Macaca mulatta: one gene and its partner. The protein of the gene in region 1 interacts with the protein of each later gene in a biochemical or structural test. Links are inferred from orthologs where the notes say so. Each region holds a gene or a part of one and is shown on either strand. Other genes may lie near its edges.

Region 1 (8,875 bases):
TAAGCTTCCAGAGGACAAGGTCTGTCTCGCCCTCTGTGCAGGTCACCCTGCTTGCTGATGAACAAACACTCAAGTCTTTTTTTTTTTCTTTTTTTTGAGATGGAGTCTCGCTTCGTCACCAGGCTGGAGTGCAATGGCACAATCTCGGCTGACTGCAATCTTCACCTCCCGGGTTCAAGTGATTCTCTTGCCTCGGCCTCCAAAGTAGCTGGGACTACAGGTGCCCGCCACCATGCCTGGCTAATTTTTGTAGTTTTAGTAGAGACATTTAGTTTCACCATGTTGACCAGGATAGTCTTAATCTCTTGACCTTGTGATCCGCCCACCTCGGCCTCCCAAAGAGCTGGGATTACAGGCATGAGCCACTGTGCACGGCCTCAGTCTTTTAAGTAAGTGTTGCTTTTGGGAAATAGTATTAGGAGAAAACACAGCAAATAAATATTTTCAGTTATACTGTTTTATGCATAAAGTCATCCACTCAGTTCAGACAAATCAATCAAAAATACTTTGCCTGTTGAATTCAAGGGTTAACAGTTGCAGTGAATCAGGTGGAAGGCCAAGTACTCAGAGGTATCCATCCTTTAAGTGTGGTTGCCCCTTAATCCAGTTGTTAAACATTAAGCCCAACAAAACCACCTAACATTCTTTGCTAACATTCTTAACTTGAGCTTGAATAATTAGAATCAATAAACCTTTGTTTAAAAGACACATCCATAGAGCTGTTGGTGGATGTTTCATTTTAACATTTACTCAGGCAGCAAAAAAACCCCAAACCAAACCAAAACTAACTGGATCCTCTCTAGCAGCCTTACGAAGTGTCATATTCAAGTATGTGCAACCTACTATGCTCTTATCAGTGATTTGTGGGATGGCTCTAATATAATTTACACACAGAAAGGCTTACTGTGTTTAATTTATTTCTAAGACCCTCCTCTGCCAAAGAAGGGGAAGGGAGAAATTTCCCATGGCAGACAGGTATGGCTGAACTAAATGGAAGCCTCTCAAAAAAGGTTTGTGTTTGTTTTCAGACAACATCTCACTCTGCTGCCCAGGCTGGAATGGAGTGGCTTGATCTCAGTTCACTGCAGCCTTGACCTCCGGGGCTCAAGCAATCCTCCCACTTCAGCCTCCACCCCCAATAGCTCAGTCAGAGCGCAGGCCACCACACCCAACTAATTTTTCTATTTTTTTGTAGAAACAGAGTCTATGTTGGCCAGGCGAGTCTTGAACTGCTGGGCTCATGTGATCTGCCTGCCTCAGCCTCCCAAAGTGCTGGGATTACAGGCTCATGCCTGTCATCAGGCCACCTTGCCTGGCCTCAAAAAAGGTTTGAAAATTCTAATTGTAGATATTATACAAAATACAGTCTTTCAAAGAGTAACTCTAGCTCTAATACACAAGGTGATGGCTACTGTCTTTCCTTAACTGTTTCACAACTATCTTCACTTTGTCAAATGTCAGAAACATCTTTTAAGTTCTGATCTATCATAAAACACCTTTAAAACAAAACAAAATGAAAATATACCTGCCACAAGAAATAAAAGAGAGAACGGAGTTCTGACAATGCAACATGGATAACCTTGAAGACATTATGCTACGGGAAATGAGACTACCATAAAAGGACAAATGCTATCACAATTCCACCTATATGAGGTATCTAGAGTTGTGGAATTCACAGAGACAGAAAGTAGAATGGTGGTTGCCAAGGGCTGGTGGTGGGGATGGGGAGGGAGAGTTTAATGGGTAGAGTTTCAATCTGGGAAGATAAAAGTTCTGGAGATAGACCTTGGTGATGGCGATGTAACAATGTAAATGTACTTAATACCTTTGAAATGTAAACCTAAAAGTAAGAGGATAAATTGTATATTTTACCAAGATACAAAAAAGAAACCAGAAAAATAAATTACCATTCATTATGAGAAAGAAAAGTAGTGACTAAGAACAGGTTAACTTTTTCCTGAGTGCTATCTTAGCTGAGCTCTGCATCTCTTCTTTTAGTGAAATAAAGAAAACCACACCCAGAAGGGTAATCTTGACCACTCCTCTGCATACCCTTGCACTCAGCTCTGCCTAAGTAAGGGGTTGTACTTAGGTCAGTTTCATACCACATGCACTGTCAAGCCTGGATGTCACGTGTCACTTTTAAGTTTGAATTAAAAAGAAAAATTTTGTATAGAAAATACTCTGCACCGCAAATAAATCTTAATGTAACTTAGGCAAAAATGATATTGGCTTCTGAATCTATTGGCATATTAATATTCTCTAACCTAACAGCAAAATTAATACCTCTAACAAACATCTTCTTAGAGAACATAAAATTTAACAGTAGAAAAAGCACCAAGGCCGGGTGTGGTGGCTCACGCCTGTAATCCTAGCATTTTGGGAGGTCGAGGTGGGCGGATCACCTGAGGTCGGGAGTTTGAGACCAACCTGGCCAACATGGTGAAACACCCTCTCTACAAAAATACACAATTTAGCTGGGCATGGTGGCACATGCCTGTAATCCCAGCTACTCGGGAGGCTGAGGCAGGAGATTCGCCTGAACCCAACAGGCAGAGGTTGCAGTGAGCTGAGATCAGGCCACTGCACTCCAGCCCGGGCGACAGAGGGAGACTCTGCTCCCCACCACCTACCTCCCCCAAAAAAAAAAAAAAAAAAAAAAGGGCACACAATCATTGATTACAGAACCAACTTGTTTGAAAAACCAGAAAAAAAATCCGGATGTATCTGTAATCCCAGTTTGTAATGAACCCTGTTATTTTGTCCATTGTGATTCAAAACTCAAAAAATGTTAAACCTTCTCCCGAATAGTCACTAGTTCCCCAGCGTTAAAAGCAGGTAGAATACATACAACTTTCTAAGAAGTGTCAGTCCCAGAGAACCTGCCTTTTGCCTACAACCCCCAGGCCTAGCCAGCAATCTCAACACAATCAGATTCAAGGAGACAGAGGCGCAGGCACAGCCCTTTCATCAGTTGACCAGGAGTGCTCGGCCCAGCGTGCCAAGAGCCGCTCATCAAACTCCGCCGACTGCCTGCATCTACAATTCAAGTCCATGGCTAACCTTCTGTTAAGAGACAGAAATTCTGCTGCAGCCAGTAAGTTTCCTGGTGAACAGGGCACCGCTTCATGGGCCTCGTAGGAAGCGAAGCTGAACGGCAACTTCCGAAAGCCAGTCTCCTCTCCCAAACGCCCTTTAAATCTCCCCAGTTGGATCTTGGGCGCCTGTGGTTTCGGACCCTTAGGAACTCTGAGAGCTGGTGTGTGTGGTCGGAGGCCATTTGAGTCTCCCTGTGATTTGGACTTTTTAAGAAAATTCGAAGTTGCATTACCATACCCTTTAAAAACAGACGGAAGCAGTGTAAAAGGGCCTCTAGTTTTTAGAGAAGATCGTAACTACTGGGGAGGGGGCTCACAAAGAAAAAGACTGCAGAGAAAAGCATCAAAATGGTGTTTTCCTAACGCTCCACAAAAGGGCCAACAAGTAACAAAGAGCGGCGACAACCCCCTATTCCTATCCTCTTCTGCGTGTGAGAAAAGCCTTCTTCCACCAGGAACTGTCCCAACACCTCGTGCAGGTGCCTCCCCTCGCCAATGAAGCCTCCCCCGTCCGCCCGTCCCAGAAACTGGGCAACTTACTGGTTTCGGCATTTTCGGTTCCTGTTGAGTATCCTCGATCCCCGGAAACACGACTCTCCAGCAGCAGCGGAGACGCTGTCCCAACCTGGAGTCAAAGCAGAGCCCTTAGAGCGCCGGTCGGCCCTGCCTCGTCCTCCTGCCGCGCCCGACACTCCGCGCCCGCCGCGCGCCGCCGCTTAAGAACCGGCCAGCCCGGGCCGGGGTGAGTCAGCGCCCAGCCCAGCACTGCGGGCACGGGGAGGGGGCGCGGCCGGGCGGGGCCCCCGGCGAGGAGGGGCCTGAGCGCGGGGGCGCGCGCCCAAGGGGCAGCCGGCGGGCACTCGAGGTGCCCCCAGTTGGGGGGGTCCGGAGAGAGGGGGTGCGCACCCGGGGACCCCCAGCATTAAGGGGCTGGTGGGGGACGCGGGTCCGGGAGATATAGGGCAGGGGGAACGCTCGGCGGAGAGGGTCGGGGGGAGAGGGCACGGGCCCCGGGGAACACTCGGCGGGGAGGGATGGGGGAAAGAGCGCCGACCGGGCGGGAAGGGGTCTGGGGGGCACTCCAGGTGCACCTGGCTGAGAGAAGTGGAGAAGAGAGGGCGCGGGGCCCGGGGTACCCGGCGGGGAAAGGCCCGGGAAGACGGAGCGCGGGCCTGGGGGAGAGAGGGCGAGGGGCAGGGGGAATCACCTAGGAGAAAGGAGTCCCGGGAGCGCCGGCGCGAGCCCTCGGGGCACTCGGCAGGGAGGGGTCAGGGGAGAGGGGGCGCATGGCCGGGGGGCACTCGGCGGGGAGGGGTCCGTGGAGAGAGGGCGCGGGCTCGGGGTCAGCCGAGGAACTTCCCAGGGCTGCCAGGAAGCCCGTGAGGAGCCGAGCACTCGGCAAGTTTCACTTTGTGTAGCAACGGTTGCCCCGCGGCTGCAATCGCAACCGTCACGCCTTTGAGAAACTCTTTCAAAAACTGCAACCGCCCGGGAGCCGCCAAGGGACGGCGCCCAGGCACCCAGGCTCCGCGTTTCCTTCGGGAGAGGGGACCTGGTGCCGAGGGGAAGGTCGCGGGGCCGCTGGCCGGCTCAGCTCCACTGCCCCTCGAGTGCCGGGCAGAGACCCGCGCCGCGCCCCCCAGGCTGCCCGCCGTACCTGCATCCGAGCTCCCGCCGCCCACCCGGTCCCTCCGTCAGGAACCCCCGCCCCGACCCCCGCCGCCGTACGCCTCACCCGACGCCTGCAGTGCTCCGTGTGCTCCCCGCCGCCCTGGCGTCCGCCGAGTGCGCTGGCTGCCCGCGCTCCCAAGAGCCCTGGCGGGGCGGGTCCCGGGGCCACGCCCCTTCCCGCCCAGCTCCCGACCTGTGAGGTGCGCCCCCCGCAAGATGGCGGCGGCCGGGACTCGGGCTCGGAGGCGAATTTGGCGGAAGTACGCGCTACTCCCAGCGCAGATGCAAGTGGGGAGGCTGTTTGTCCCACGGCGGGCAGGGGGAAGTCAGGAAAACGTAAATAAATCTGGAGGGGCGGACGGCCCGGGGGAATTGCTGGGCCGCTTGGGGCTGGGACCGGGGGCCCTTTCCGATACCCCGGCCCTGGGGCGGCTGCACCTGGCCCCAAGTCTCGGTGCACGTGGCCGGCCCAGCCGCTGTCTTCCGAAGCTCTGGTTAAGCGGCACTTTGTGGCCTCTTTTGACGTGACTAGCAAAAAACTCCATGGGATTTCTCTGCAATTCTAGGAATTAAGTTTTTTTGTTTGTTTTTTGCTAATGGTACTCAACAAATTTTTAAGACACACAAAACACGTGCTTTGGGGGCCGGTAGAATTTGTTGCGGGAGACCTCACTCTAGAAGGGGTTCTCAACGTCTGGCTTCCAGACGAGCAGCAACAGCATTCACTGGGAACTTGCAGAAGTGGAAATTAGGTGTTGCTCAGCCTTAGGATTCAGAAACTCTAGGACTGGGCCCAGCAATCAGTGTATTACAAGCCCTTCAGGTGATTGTGATGTTGGCTAAGGGTTGAAACCAGAGAGCTTCTCCAGAATTCATCTCCTGGGTTTACTGCTCCCTTTCTGCTTTTAGTTTTCTCGTCTGTAAAGTGGCATAATTATGGCACCTGTATCAGAGGGTTGTAATGGGGATAATGAGTTAGTACATATAAGATGCCTGGAACAGTACCTGACAGTAAGCACTTAAATCTATCCTGGTAGAGAAACTAGTGACTTTGGGTGAAGTTCCAAACTCTGTATCCCAGTTTGTTGAATGAACATACTAGTAGCCCCTCCTACATACACTTGTAAGGATTAAATGAGATTGTGCATGCAGAGTGCTTAAGTTGTGCTAGCATCATAGTAATTGATGCTTAACCTGCCTTCCTAGTGCCACACTGCTGTTTGGGCAACCCTTGTCAGGGCCTGTAATCTCCCACTTGCAGGTCCAGGGCATTTCAGAGGTCAGAGAGAGGAGGGAGGCCTCTTCTGAGACTTTGACCTCTATTCAGGTAAGTGTATTCCCTCTGAAAGACTGAATTTCTTTCCTTTCCTTTCCTTTTTTTTTTAGACGGAGTTTCACTCTTGTTGCCCAGGCTGGAGTGCAATGGCGCAATCTCGGCTCACTGCAACCTCTGTCTCCCAGGTTCAAGCAATTCTCCTGCCTCAGCCTCTCCAATAGCTGGGATTACAGACACCCGCCACCACGCCCAGCTAATTTTTTGTATTTTTAGTAGAGATGGAGTTTTACCATGTTGGCCAGGCTGGTTTTGAACTCCTGACTTCAGGTGATCCGCTCACCTCGGCCTCCCAAAGTGCTAGGATTACAGGTGTGAGCCACCGCGCCTGGCCTGAATTTCTTTTTTATTAAAATGAAGATATAGGCCAGGCACGGTGGCTCACGCCTGTAATCCCAGAACTTTGGGAGGCTGAGGCAGGTGGAACACCTGAGGTCGGGAGTTCAAGACCAGCCTGACCAACATGGAGAAACCCCATCTCTACTAAAAGTACAGAATTAGCTGGGCTTGGTGGTGCGCACCTGTAGTCCCAGCTACTCGGGAGGCTGAGGCAGGAGAATTGCTTGAACCTGGAAGGTGGAGGTTGCGGTAAGCTGAGATGGTGCTATTGCACTCCAGCCTGGGCAACAAGAACAAAACTCCGTCTCAAAAATAAATAAATAAATAAAATGAAGATATAATGGTAACTGCAGTAGAAAGGAAACTATGAAAGCTATTTAAAATACCTGTACTGATAATGTTTCCAATTGGACATCAGTACCTCCACCGCCTTATCATTGCCTAGAGCCTGGTTAGCCAATTTGGGTTCCTAACTCTGATAATAGAATATGCCTCTAATCTAATTTTTATCTCACTCTGTTTGAAGTATACTGTCTTATAAATTGAATATTTGAAATAGCCGTGCCCCAAGACCTTGAAGAGCATTTCTGAACTTTACCCTTTAGGGGAATGCTGAAAAATGAAGTGGCCTGTGGCAGTGTGGTAAAAATGAAATGGCCGGGTGCGATGACTCAAGCCTGTAATCCCAGCACTTTGGGAGGCTGAGGCGAGCGAATCACCTGAGGTCAGGAGTTCGAGACAGCCTGGCCAACGTGGGGAAACCCCATTTCTACTAAAAATACAAAAAGTTAGCTGGGCATGGTAGCACATGCCTGTAACCCCAGCTACTTGGGAGCCTGAGGCAGGAGAATCGCTTGAAACCAACCGGGAGGTGGAGGTTGTGGTGAGCTGAGATCGCACCATTGCACTCCAACCTGGACAACAAGAGCGAAACTCCGTCTCAAAAAATAAATAAAATAAAATAAAAATGAAACGATGGCAGGTTTTTGAGGCAAACAGAACTAAGTCTGAATTCTGCTTCCTGTACTTCCAACATGGTTAGTTTGGGCAAGTCTGTCAACCTGACTCAGCATCCGTCTCTTCATCTGTAAAACGGAAATGATAATATGTATTTCATGGTATTCTTGTGTCACTGAGTCGTATCATATGAGCATTTAACTCACCCAACTTATATGTACAATCAGCCCTCTGTATTTGTGGGTTCTGCATTCATGGAATCAGCCAACGTTGGATGGAAAAGATTTGGAAAAAATTAAAAAAAAAATTACAATTAAAATACTAATAAAAATCCAATACAGAATATAGTATAACAAGTAGTAACATTATATGACATAGGTAATCTGGAGATGATTTAAGATATGCAGGAGGATTTTGTACGTTATATGCAAATACTATACCGTTTTTTGTCAGGAACTTGGTCATTGCAGAATTTTGGCATCCTCAGAGGTCTTGAAACCAATCTGTGGATACAGAGGGATGCTATATAATTTTTCTTAAGTTAAAATAGTATAAAGTCATATTTGTACATGCATTCCTTATCATTACTGTAAGCATGACACATTGCATTTACATGTTACTATACTGTTCTGCCCACCAAGGAAACACCTACAGTGTATCTTACGGATGTTTTCAGATTTTCTAAGGGTAATTTATTTTCATTAGGGTTTAGAACCTAAACCCCTGCCCCCCAGCACACACAGAAGACTCAACTCCAGCTGTGTTGAAACTTGAATATGCATTAGAATCACTCTTAGTGCCCTTTTCCAGGAATGATGGCTCACTAAGTCTCAGGCAGCCCCTAGGAATCTATATCTTTAACAAGTCCCCACGTTATTTTGATGTACACCATAATTTGAGAACAACTGACTTAGGATGTGGCAGGACCTTGACACATGTTTTGCTTGCCTGTCCTTTCAGCCCTCATTTGTGAAGCTGTTCCCTGTGTTTGAAAGTCATCCTTTTGTTAATATATGATACTCAATGCCTTAGAAGGAAGTGAGGAAACATTGGAGCCAGGACTATGTTGTTAGTCTAGGTATTTACCTTGAATGACCCTTCACTGCCAGGTTTCCATTATTCAGTTTTTCAGCTCGAGAAGGGTAATCATAAGTCTGCCTCTTGAACTTGGTGAAGGGCTGTTGGTAACTTCCTGGGAGTTCTTCAGACAAGGTTAAAGTAAAGTGAGGAAGGACAGCCCTCCTGGAAGCTCGGAACAGTGTCACGGACTGGAACCATTGTATCCAGAACAGTCACATCCACTGATAGGCAGGCTTTCTATCAAATCACCTTGGAGCCTATCTCCATACTGGTGCCGGGTTAATCTCAACCAGTAACGAAAAAGTGACTAAAGCTCTATCTAGTTCTAGTCACTTCAAAACAACAGTCAGTAGGCAATGGGGAAATATATAAAGAGTACTCTTGGCAAAACAAGGAT
Region 2 (9,007 bases), on another chromosome or scaffold:
GGTTTCACCATGTTGGTCAGGCTGGTCTCAAACTCCTGACCTCAGGTGATCCACCTGCCTTGGCCTCCTAAAGTGCTGGAATTACAGGTGTGAGCCACCATGCCCTATTTTTGTATTTTTAGTAGATGGGATTTCACCATGTTGGCCAGGCTGATCTTGAACTCCTGGCCTCAAGTGATTCACCCACCTCAGCCTCCCAAAGTGTTGGGATTACAGGTGTGAGCCACAGCGCCTGGCCTTTTTCTCTTTTATGGATGGAGAAATATATAGCCCAGAGAGGGGAGGTGAATTACTTAAGGACGCACAAACGGTAAGTAGCAGAGGCGCCTCCTGGATATCATGTCTAGGGACTCTGTTGGCCCCTTCTCCTAGCTTCTGGCCTGAACACCTGCTTTGGCCTCTACCAGAGATTAGTTCAGTTCTCTCCAAGCAGGTTCAGACACTCAGGGCTTTCCTGGTTCACCAGCCCTGTGGCAGCCTCTCAAGATGCTCTGGTACAGTCACAGGAGACTTGACACTCCCAGGCTGGGTGCCCTCCCAGGTACACCTACAAAACCCTGGGCCTCAGGGTGGGCACTGTGGCTCATGTTTGTAATCCCAGCACTTTGGGAGGCCAAGATGGGCAGATCACCTGAGACCAGGAGTTCAAGACCAGCCTTGCCAACATGGTGAAACCCCGTCTCTACTAAAAATACAAAAATTAGCCAGGCGTGGTAGCACGTGCCTGTAATCCCAGCTACTCAGGAGGCTGAGGCACGAGAATCACTGGAACCCAGGAGGCAAAGGTTGCAGTGAGCTGAGATAGTGCCACTGCACTCCAGCCTGGTGACAGAGTGGGACTCTATGTCAAAAAAAAAAAAAAAAAAAAAAAAGAGCTAGGTGACTCACGCCTGTAATCCCACCACTTTGGGAGGCCGAGGGAGGCGGATCACTTGAGGTCAGGAGTTTGAGACCAACCTGGCCAACTTGGCAAAACCCTGTCTCTACTAAAAATCAATACAAAAATTAGCCAGGCGTGGTGGCACATGCCTGTGATCCCAATTACTAAGGAGGCTAAGACAGGAGAATCACTTGAACCCAGGAGGCAGAGTTTGCAGTGAGCTGACATCGCGCCATTGCACTCCAGCCTGGGGGACAAGAGCAAGACTCCGTCTCAAAGGATAAAAAAAATAAAATCAAAAAGTAGGCCAGGCATGGTGGCTCACGCTTGTAATCCCAGCACTTTGGGAGGCCAAGGCACTTGAGGCCAGGAGTTTGAGACCAGCCTGGGCAACATGGTGAAATCCCGTCTCTACTAAAAATAAAAAAATTAGCTGGGCGTGGTGGTGCACACCCGTAGTCCCAGCTACTCAGCAGGCTGAGGCAGGAAAATCTCTTGAACTTGGGAGGTGGAGGTTGCAGTGAGCTGAGATCGTGCCACTGCACTCCAGCCTGGGCAACAGAGTGAGACTCCATCTCCAAAAAAAAAAAAAAAAGAAGAAGAAGAAAAGGCCAGGCATGGTGGCTCACGCCTGTAATCCCAGCACTTTGGGAGGTCGAGGCAGGTGGATCATGAGGTCAGAAGTTCGAGACCAGCTTGACCAACATGTTGAAACCTTGTCTCTACTAAAAATACAAAAATGAGCCGGGCATGTTGGCATGTGCCTATAATCGCAGCTACTCAGGAGGCTGAGGCAGGAGAATCGCTTGAACCCGGGAGGCAGAGGTTGCAGTGAGCCACGATTGCACCACTGCACTCCAGCCTAGGGGACAGAGCAAGACTCCGTCTCAAAAAAAAAAAAAGAAAAAGAAAAAAAAAAAGTAGCCAGGTACAGTGGCTCAGGCCTGCAATCCCAGCTACTGGAGAGCTGAAGAGGATTGCATGAGCCCAGGAGTTTGAGACCAACCTGGGCAATATAGGGAGAGCCTGTCTCTAAAATAAAAGTATAAAAAAGTGTAAATATAAAACCTCTATTCACCTACTGCTGACTGAAAGGGGTACCCCCTTTTTTTTGCTTAAGAGACAGGGTCTTACTTTTTCGCGCAGGCTGGAGTGCAGTGGTGCAATTATAGCTCACTATAGCCTTGAACTCCTGGGCTCAAGCAACTCTCCCACCTCGGCCCCCCAAGTAGCTGAGACTTCGGGCATGTACCACCATGCCCAGCTAATTTTTTTTTTTTTTTTTTTTGAGACGGAGTCTCACTCTGTCGCCCAGGCTGGAGTGCAGTGGCGCAATCTCCACTCACTGCAAGCTCCATCGCCTCCCGGGTTAATGCCATTTTCCTGCCTCAGCCTCCCTAGAAGCTGGGACTACAGGTGCCCACCACCACACCCGGCTACTTTTTTTGTATTTTCAATAGAGATGGGGTTTCACGGTGTTTGCCAGGATGGTCTCGATCTTCTGACCTCGTGGTCCGCCCACCTCGGCCTCCCAAAGTGCTGGGATTACAGGTGTGAGCCACCACGCCCGGCCCCAGCTAATATTTTTTATTTATTTTTGTAGAGACAAGGTGTCCCTATGTTGCTCAGCCTGGTCTTAAATTTCTGGGCTCAAGCAATCTTCCTGCCTTGGCCTCCCAAAGTGTTGAAATTATTGTTGGGGTCAGGCAAGGTGGCTCACACCTGTAATCCCAGCATTTCGAGAGGCCAAGGTGGACAGATCACAAGGTCAGGAGTTAAAGACCAGCCTGGCTAACATGGTGAAACCCCATCTCTACAAAAAATACAAAAATTAGCTGGGCATGCTGGCGCATGCCTATAATCCCAGCTACTTGGGAGGCTGAGGCAGGAGAATGCTTGAACTGGGACCTGGGAGGCAGAGGTCGTGGTGAGCCAAGATGGCACCGCTGCACTCCAGTCTGGGCTACAGAGCAACAGACTTCATCTCAAAAAAAAAAAAAAAAACTTGTTGGGGCAGGGTGCAGTGGCTCATGCCTGTAATCCCAGCACTTCGGGAGACCAAAGCAGGCGGATTACCTGAGGTGAGGAGTTCAAGACCAGACTGGCCAACATGATGAAATGCCATCTCAGGCGGGCGCAGTGGCTCAAGCCTGTAATCCCCGCACTTTGGGAGGCCAAGATGGGCGGATCACGAGGTCAGGAGATCGAGACCATCCTGGCTAACACGTTGAAACCCCGTCTCTACTAAAAAAAATACAAAAAAACTAGCCGGGCGAGGTGGCGGGCGCCTGTAGTCCCAGCTACTCGGGAGGCTGAGGCAGGAGAATGGCATAAGCCCGGGAGGCGGAGCTTGCAGTGAGCTGAGATCCGGCCACTGCACTCCAGCCTGGGCTGGACAGAGCCAGACTCCGTCTCAAAAAAAAAAGAAAAAGAAATGCCATCTCTACTAAAAATACAAAATTACCCGGGTGTGGTGGCGTGCATGTGTAATCCCAGCCACTCGGGAGGCCGAGGCAGGAGAATCACTTGAACCCAGGAGGCGAAGGTTGCAGTGAGCCGAGATTGCGCCACTGCACTCCAGCCTGGGCAAAAAGAGCGAAACTCTGTCTCAAAAAAAAAAAAAAAAAAAAAATGTTGGTTGGGGCCCAAGTTAATTGATTTCACAACTGCTGCCTTGGCATGAGATTGAGATGTGTCTCTATGTCTTTGTATCTCACACACACAAATGTCCAGGTCTGAGCTCTGGGTCAGAATCCTGGTCCATTCTTTGCAAACTGAGGGTCTCCATTCTCCTGAGCCATCGGCCATCTGCCCACACCACTACCCAACACCAGTCCCACCTCCGGACACATCGACTCACTGTACACGGTGATGTCAGAGAAGCCTGTTATCTGGGAGCCATTGCAGTACCCTGAACAGAGGATCCGACTGTTGCCAGTCACGTTGCTGAGCTGGAAGGCTGCCCAGCCTGTGCCATTGTCCACCAGCTCCTTTGATAGGGACGTCTCCAAGATGATTTTCTTAGAGCTGGGGCAATCAGTACTGCAGTTCACCAACAGGGACCCTCCAGCAGGAAACACAGGGTTCTGGGGCTCCACCCGCAGCAGGAACTCCTGCCCCTGGGCACCTTCAGGAACATGAAGAAATCCTGGTGTTTGTTTTGTTGCCCCCCAACCCGCGTATCAGCAGGCCCCACCATTTAACACCTCTTTCCTTGTGCCGAGATAGAAGGGTTCCCACCCTCATGGTCCAGTGGGAAAGGCAGAATCCATCAGGGACCAGGGAGAACTCAGAAGGAGGCCAGAAGAGGCTCTGATCCAGCATAGGAGGAGGTGAGTCAGGGAAGGCTTCCTGGAGGAGGAGACCATGCCAGCCTGAAACTGAAAGCTAAGTAAGAGTTAGCAAGTGAAAGGGACAGGTGATCCTGGCAGAGGGAACCACATACGCAAAGGGCAAATTTCAGGAGTTCAGGCCGGGCGCGGTGGCTCAAGCCTGTAATCCCAGCACTTTGGGAGGCCGAGACGGGCGGATCATGAGGTCAGGAGATCGAGACCATCCTGGCTAACACAGTGAAACCCCGTCTCTACTAAAATACAAAAAAAAACTAGCCGGGCGAGGTGGCGGGCGCCTGTAGTCCCAGCTACTCGGGAGGCTGAGGCAGGAGAATGGCGTGAACCCGGGAGGCGGAGCTTGCAGTGAGCTGAGATCCGGCCACTGCACTCCAGCCTGGGCGACAGAGCGAGACTCCGTCTCAAAAAAAAAAAAAAAAAAAAAAAAAAAAAAAAAAATTTCAGGAGTTCAGATGGAGCAGGAAGCGTGAGGGGTGTGTGTGTGTGTGTGTGTGTGTGTTGGGGAAGAGGGATGGCGTAGAAGCCGTATGCTGGGGCCTGACCACCTGAAGGCAGAACTAAGGAACCAGAACTTTCTCCCGAGGATACGGGGTCAGCAGCCAGGTCGCAGTGTGGCAGGATGCAAAGAGTGTTGCATTCTCTTCCTCCACCTTCTACTGAGCCCCAAAACCCAGCCCTCTCCAGCCCTCCTGGGCTTGACCAGCCTCACCTGGGGTCAGCAGACAGCAGACCAGCAGAGTCCAGCAGGCCCCGGGCCACGATACGGATGGTACTATGGTGGCCATTCTGACAGAAGAAGGTGCCTTCCTGAGGTGCCCCAAGGGCAGGCAGGGGGAAAGGCGGGGCCTCCCACTGAGACGGAAGCATAGCGGTTAAGATTGCAGAAGTCTGGGGACTGCACCTTACCCAGGCCTGTGGGGAGAAGGGGATGCTGTGGCCCTGGGGGGCTAGAATGGGGGACCCAGACGGGGCTCTGCAAAGTGGCCAGCACTGCTGAGTCTCCCCCAGGGACAGGGCTGGTCTCAGTTGCACTGCTGGCCCCCAGTTCCTAGCCAGGAAATGCTAACTGAACTGGCTTCCTTTGTTCTCAGCACTGGGAAGCCTGGGTGTGGGGGTATGAGGCATCTCCTTCCGGCTGAACTTAGGTGGGGAGGGGAATATTCTGTTCCCAGAGAGGAAGTTAATGGGGGAAACCTGTAGGCACCACTGTTTAGATGCTAAGGTGGGATTTCAAGGAAACATAAAACAAACAAACAAACAAACAAAAAAACCAGAAGCAGAGTCTTGCTATGTTGCCCCGACTGGTCTTGAGCTCCTGGCCTTGAGATGGCCTCCTCCCATCCTGACCTCCCAAAGTGTTGCGGTTACAGGCGTGAGCCACAACGCCTGGCCACCTTTGAAGATCTTGAGGACATCTCCCTATCTTTGAAGATTTTGGGGATCCCCCCTCCCATGCACGAAGAGCTAAGGTAGGTGATTTGGGGACAGCTGAGTCCCTGAGCCACTGTCTTTCCAGGATTCGATTTGGCTTTTGTTTTGTTTTGAGACAGGGTCTCACTCTGTTGCCCAGGCTGGAGTGCAGTAGTGGGATCTCGGCTCACTGCAGCCTCTGCCTCCCTGGTTCAAACAATTCTCCTGCCTCAGCCTCCCGAGTAGCTGGGATTACAGGCATGTGCCATCATGCCCGGCTAATTTTTGTACTTTTTGGTAAGAGATGGGGTTTCACCATGTTGGCCAAGCTGGTCTCAAACTTCTGACCTCAAGTGAGTCGCCTGCCTTGGCCTCCCAAAGTGCTGGGATTACAGGCATAAGCCACCTCGCCCAACCTTCCAGGATTCTACTTGTAACTGGCCTTTACCTCATCCTGTTGCCCCCTTGCCCACCTTTCCAGGCAGCTGGTCACTTCATTCCAAGGGAAGGCACCAAGGGGACCAGGGGGGACTCCCACCTTTGACCTGCTGCTGACCTCAGGCCTCTGACCTGTCTTCTGGGCCTAACATCTGAGCACCAGAGAGGGACCTTGTTGAGGGCCTTGATGGAGCCCTGCGTTCACCCACTTTTCCCAGAGCTTGAGGTCACAGCACCTCCTCTCTCATCTGGAGCACCCCCACCTTCCTAATCAGGTCCCTCCTCTATTCCTCTGCCTTCCGAACAATTCATTTCCCACCTAGTGTTGAGAGAGCAGCTAAAACCCAAGTCTAGTGTATTTGTAAATAGCAGGGCCCAGTAGCATGGACCTGGTGCCTGTAGTCCCAGCTCCTTGGAAGGCTGAGGAGAGGATCGCTTGAGCCTGGGAGATCAAAGCTGCAGTGAGCTGAGATTGTGCCCCTGCACTCCAGCCTAGGCGACACAGTGAGACCCTGTTTCCAAAAAAAATAATAATAAAATAAAATAAAAAAGATGCCAGACTTAGTGGCTCAAGTCTGTAATCCCAGCAGAACTTTGGGAGGCTGAGGTGGGCAGATCAAGAGGTCAGGAAATCGAGACCGTCCTGGCTAACACAGTGAAACCCCGTTTCCACCAAAAATATAAAAAATTAGCTGGACGTTGTGGCGGGCGCCTGTAGTCCCAGCAACTCGGGAGGCTGAAGCAGAAGAATCACTTGAACCCGGGAGGCAGAGGTTGTAGTGAGCGGAGATTGTGCCGCTGCACTACAGCCTGGGTGACAGAGCAAGACTCCGTCTCAAAAATACATACATACATATATATATATATATATATATATATATATATATATATAAAATATATATTATATATTATAGATATGATTTATAATAATTATGTAATAGTGAGACCCCGTTTCTAAAAATAAAAAAGAAAGAAATATTTGTAAATAAGTAATATTTCTTTTTTGTTTTTTGAAACAGAGTCTCACTGTGTCACCCAGGCTGGAGTGCAGGGGCGCAATCTCAGCTAACTGTAATCTCAGCCTCCTGAGTTCAAGCGATCCTCCCACCTCAGCCTCCCTAGGATCTGGGACCACAGGTGCACACCACCATGCCTGGCTAATTTTTTGTAGAGACGGCTTTCATCATATTGCCCAGGTTGGTCTTGAACTCCTAAGCTTAGGGGATCTGCCTGCCTTGACCTCCCAAAGTGCTGGGATTATCAGTGTACCCTTCTACACCCTCCAGTAATATTTCTGATGATGAAGTATTTCTGGGCCAGGAGTGGTGTCTCACACCTGTAATCCTAGCACTTTGGGAGGTCAAGATGGGTGGATCCCTTGAGGTCGGGAGTTCCAGACCAGCCTGGGCAGCATGCCAAAACCCTGTCTCTACTAAAAATACAAAAAATCAGCCAAGCTTGATGGCACACACCTGTAGTCCCAGCTACTCAGGAGGCTGCAGCAGGAGGATTGCTTGAGTCGGGGAAGTGGAGGTTGCAGTTAGCTGAGATTGTGCCCCTGCACTCCAGTCTGGGCGGCAGAGAAAGGTCACCTACACATGTTTAAGGAGCTCCTGCACATATCTCAAGCCGTTGACAAGAAAGCAAATACAGTCTGGATTGCAAACAGTGTATAAATTAAACTCCAGCTGTTTTTTTTTTTGTTTTTTTTTTTTTTGAGACAGGGTCTGACTCTGTCACCCAGGCTGGAGTGCAGTGGCACAGTCTGGGGCTCACTGCAACCTCTGCCTCCCAGGTTCAAGTGATTATCCCACCTCAGCTTCCTGAGTAGCTGGGATTATAGGCACGCACCACCACACCCAGCTAATTTTTTGTATTTTTAGTAGAGACAGGGTTTCTTTTTTTTTTTTTTTTTTTTTTTTTTTGAGATGGAGTCTCGCTCTGCCGCCCAGGCTGGAGTGCAGTGGCCGGATCTCTGCTCACTGCAAGCTCCGCCTCCCGGGTTCACGCCATTCTCCTGCCTCAGCCTCCCGAGTAGCTGGGACTACAGGCGCCCACCACCGCGCCCGGCTAGTTTTTTGTATTTTTTAGTAGAGACGGGGTTTCACCATGTTAGCCAGGATGGTCTCAATCTCCTGACCTCGGCCATGTTAGCCAGGATGGTCTCGATCTCCTGACCTCGTGATCCGCCCGCCTCGGCCTCCCAAAGTGCTGGGATTACAGGCTTGAGCCACCGCGCCCGGCCGAGACAGGGTTTCACCGTGTTGACCAGGCTAGTCTCGAACTCCTGACCTCAGGTGATCCGCCTGCCTTGGCCTCCCAAAGTGCTAGGATTACAGGCCTGAGCTACCACAACTGGCCTCCAGCTGATTTTTGACAGCCACATTGTTGCTATAGTATCCTTTTTAGGAGTGATGGTGATGGTCTCTGGTTCTCCTCATTCCCACAAAGGTTGTTGAACCACAGCACCAGTAACACTGAGAATGCTAAGGGCTGTAACCCAGGCTTTCTCCCAGGTTCTCTGGTGTGTGCCCTCCTGGTGACAATGAAATTGAAGCTAATTGCTTTCACTGGTTGAGTCTCTGATCTTGAGTGGCTGTGTCCACATTTCTTTTTTTTTTTTTTTTTCTGGTAGGAATAACTACTTTTCTGCATCCATACTCCATAGACTCTGTCATTTTCAGACATCCTGGGATGAAAAGATTTGGCTTTTTTTTTTTTTTTTTTTTTTTTTTTTTCCTGAGACAGGGTCTGGCTGTGCTGCCCAGGCTGGAACGCAGTGGCTTAATCATGGCTCACTGCAACCTTGACCTCACAGGCTCAGGTGATCCTCCCACTTCAGCCTCCCTAGAAACTGGGACTATAGGTAGGTGCCACTACACTCGGCTCATTTTTGTATTTTTTCGTTTTTTTTTTTTTTTTTTGAGAC

What was found.
Region 2: the proteins of EZR (region 1) and ICAM3 form a complex in vitro, tested with the Homo sapiens proteins (2 studies listed by BioGRID). The link is inferred for Macaca mulatta from reciprocal best matches to the Homo sapiens genes EZR and ICAM3.

The regions. Positions count from the first base shown.
Region 1 is NC_133409.1:77,679,799-77,688,673, forward strand, and holds the start of EZR (ezrin), read right to left. Parts: upstream 4,888-8,875; 5' UTR 4,834-4,887; intron 3,724-4,833; 5' UTR 3,651-3,723; coding exon 3,639-3,650; intron 1-3,638. UniProt on the Homo sapiens protein: Probably involved in connections of major cytoskeletal structures to the plasma membrane. In epithelial cells, required for the formation of microvilli and membrane ruffles on the apical pole. Along with PLEKHG6, required for normal macropinocytosis.
Region 2 is NC_133424.1:11,060,168-11,069,174, forward strand, and holds the start of ICAM3 (intercellular adhesion molecule 3), read right to left. Parts: upstream 5,077-9,007; 5' UTR 5,016-5,076; coding exon 4,940-5,015; exon of another isoform or gene 4,683-4,939; intron 4,352-4,682; exon of another isoform or gene 4,008-4,351; coding exon 3,741-4,007; exon of another isoform or gene 3,541-3,740; intron 1-3,540. UniProt on the Homo sapiens protein: ICAM proteins are ligands for the leukocyte adhesion protein LFA-1 (integrin alpha-L/beta-2). ICAM3 is also a ligand for integrin alpha-D/beta-2. In association with integrin alpha-L/beta-2, contributes to apoptotic neutrophil phagocytosis by macrophages.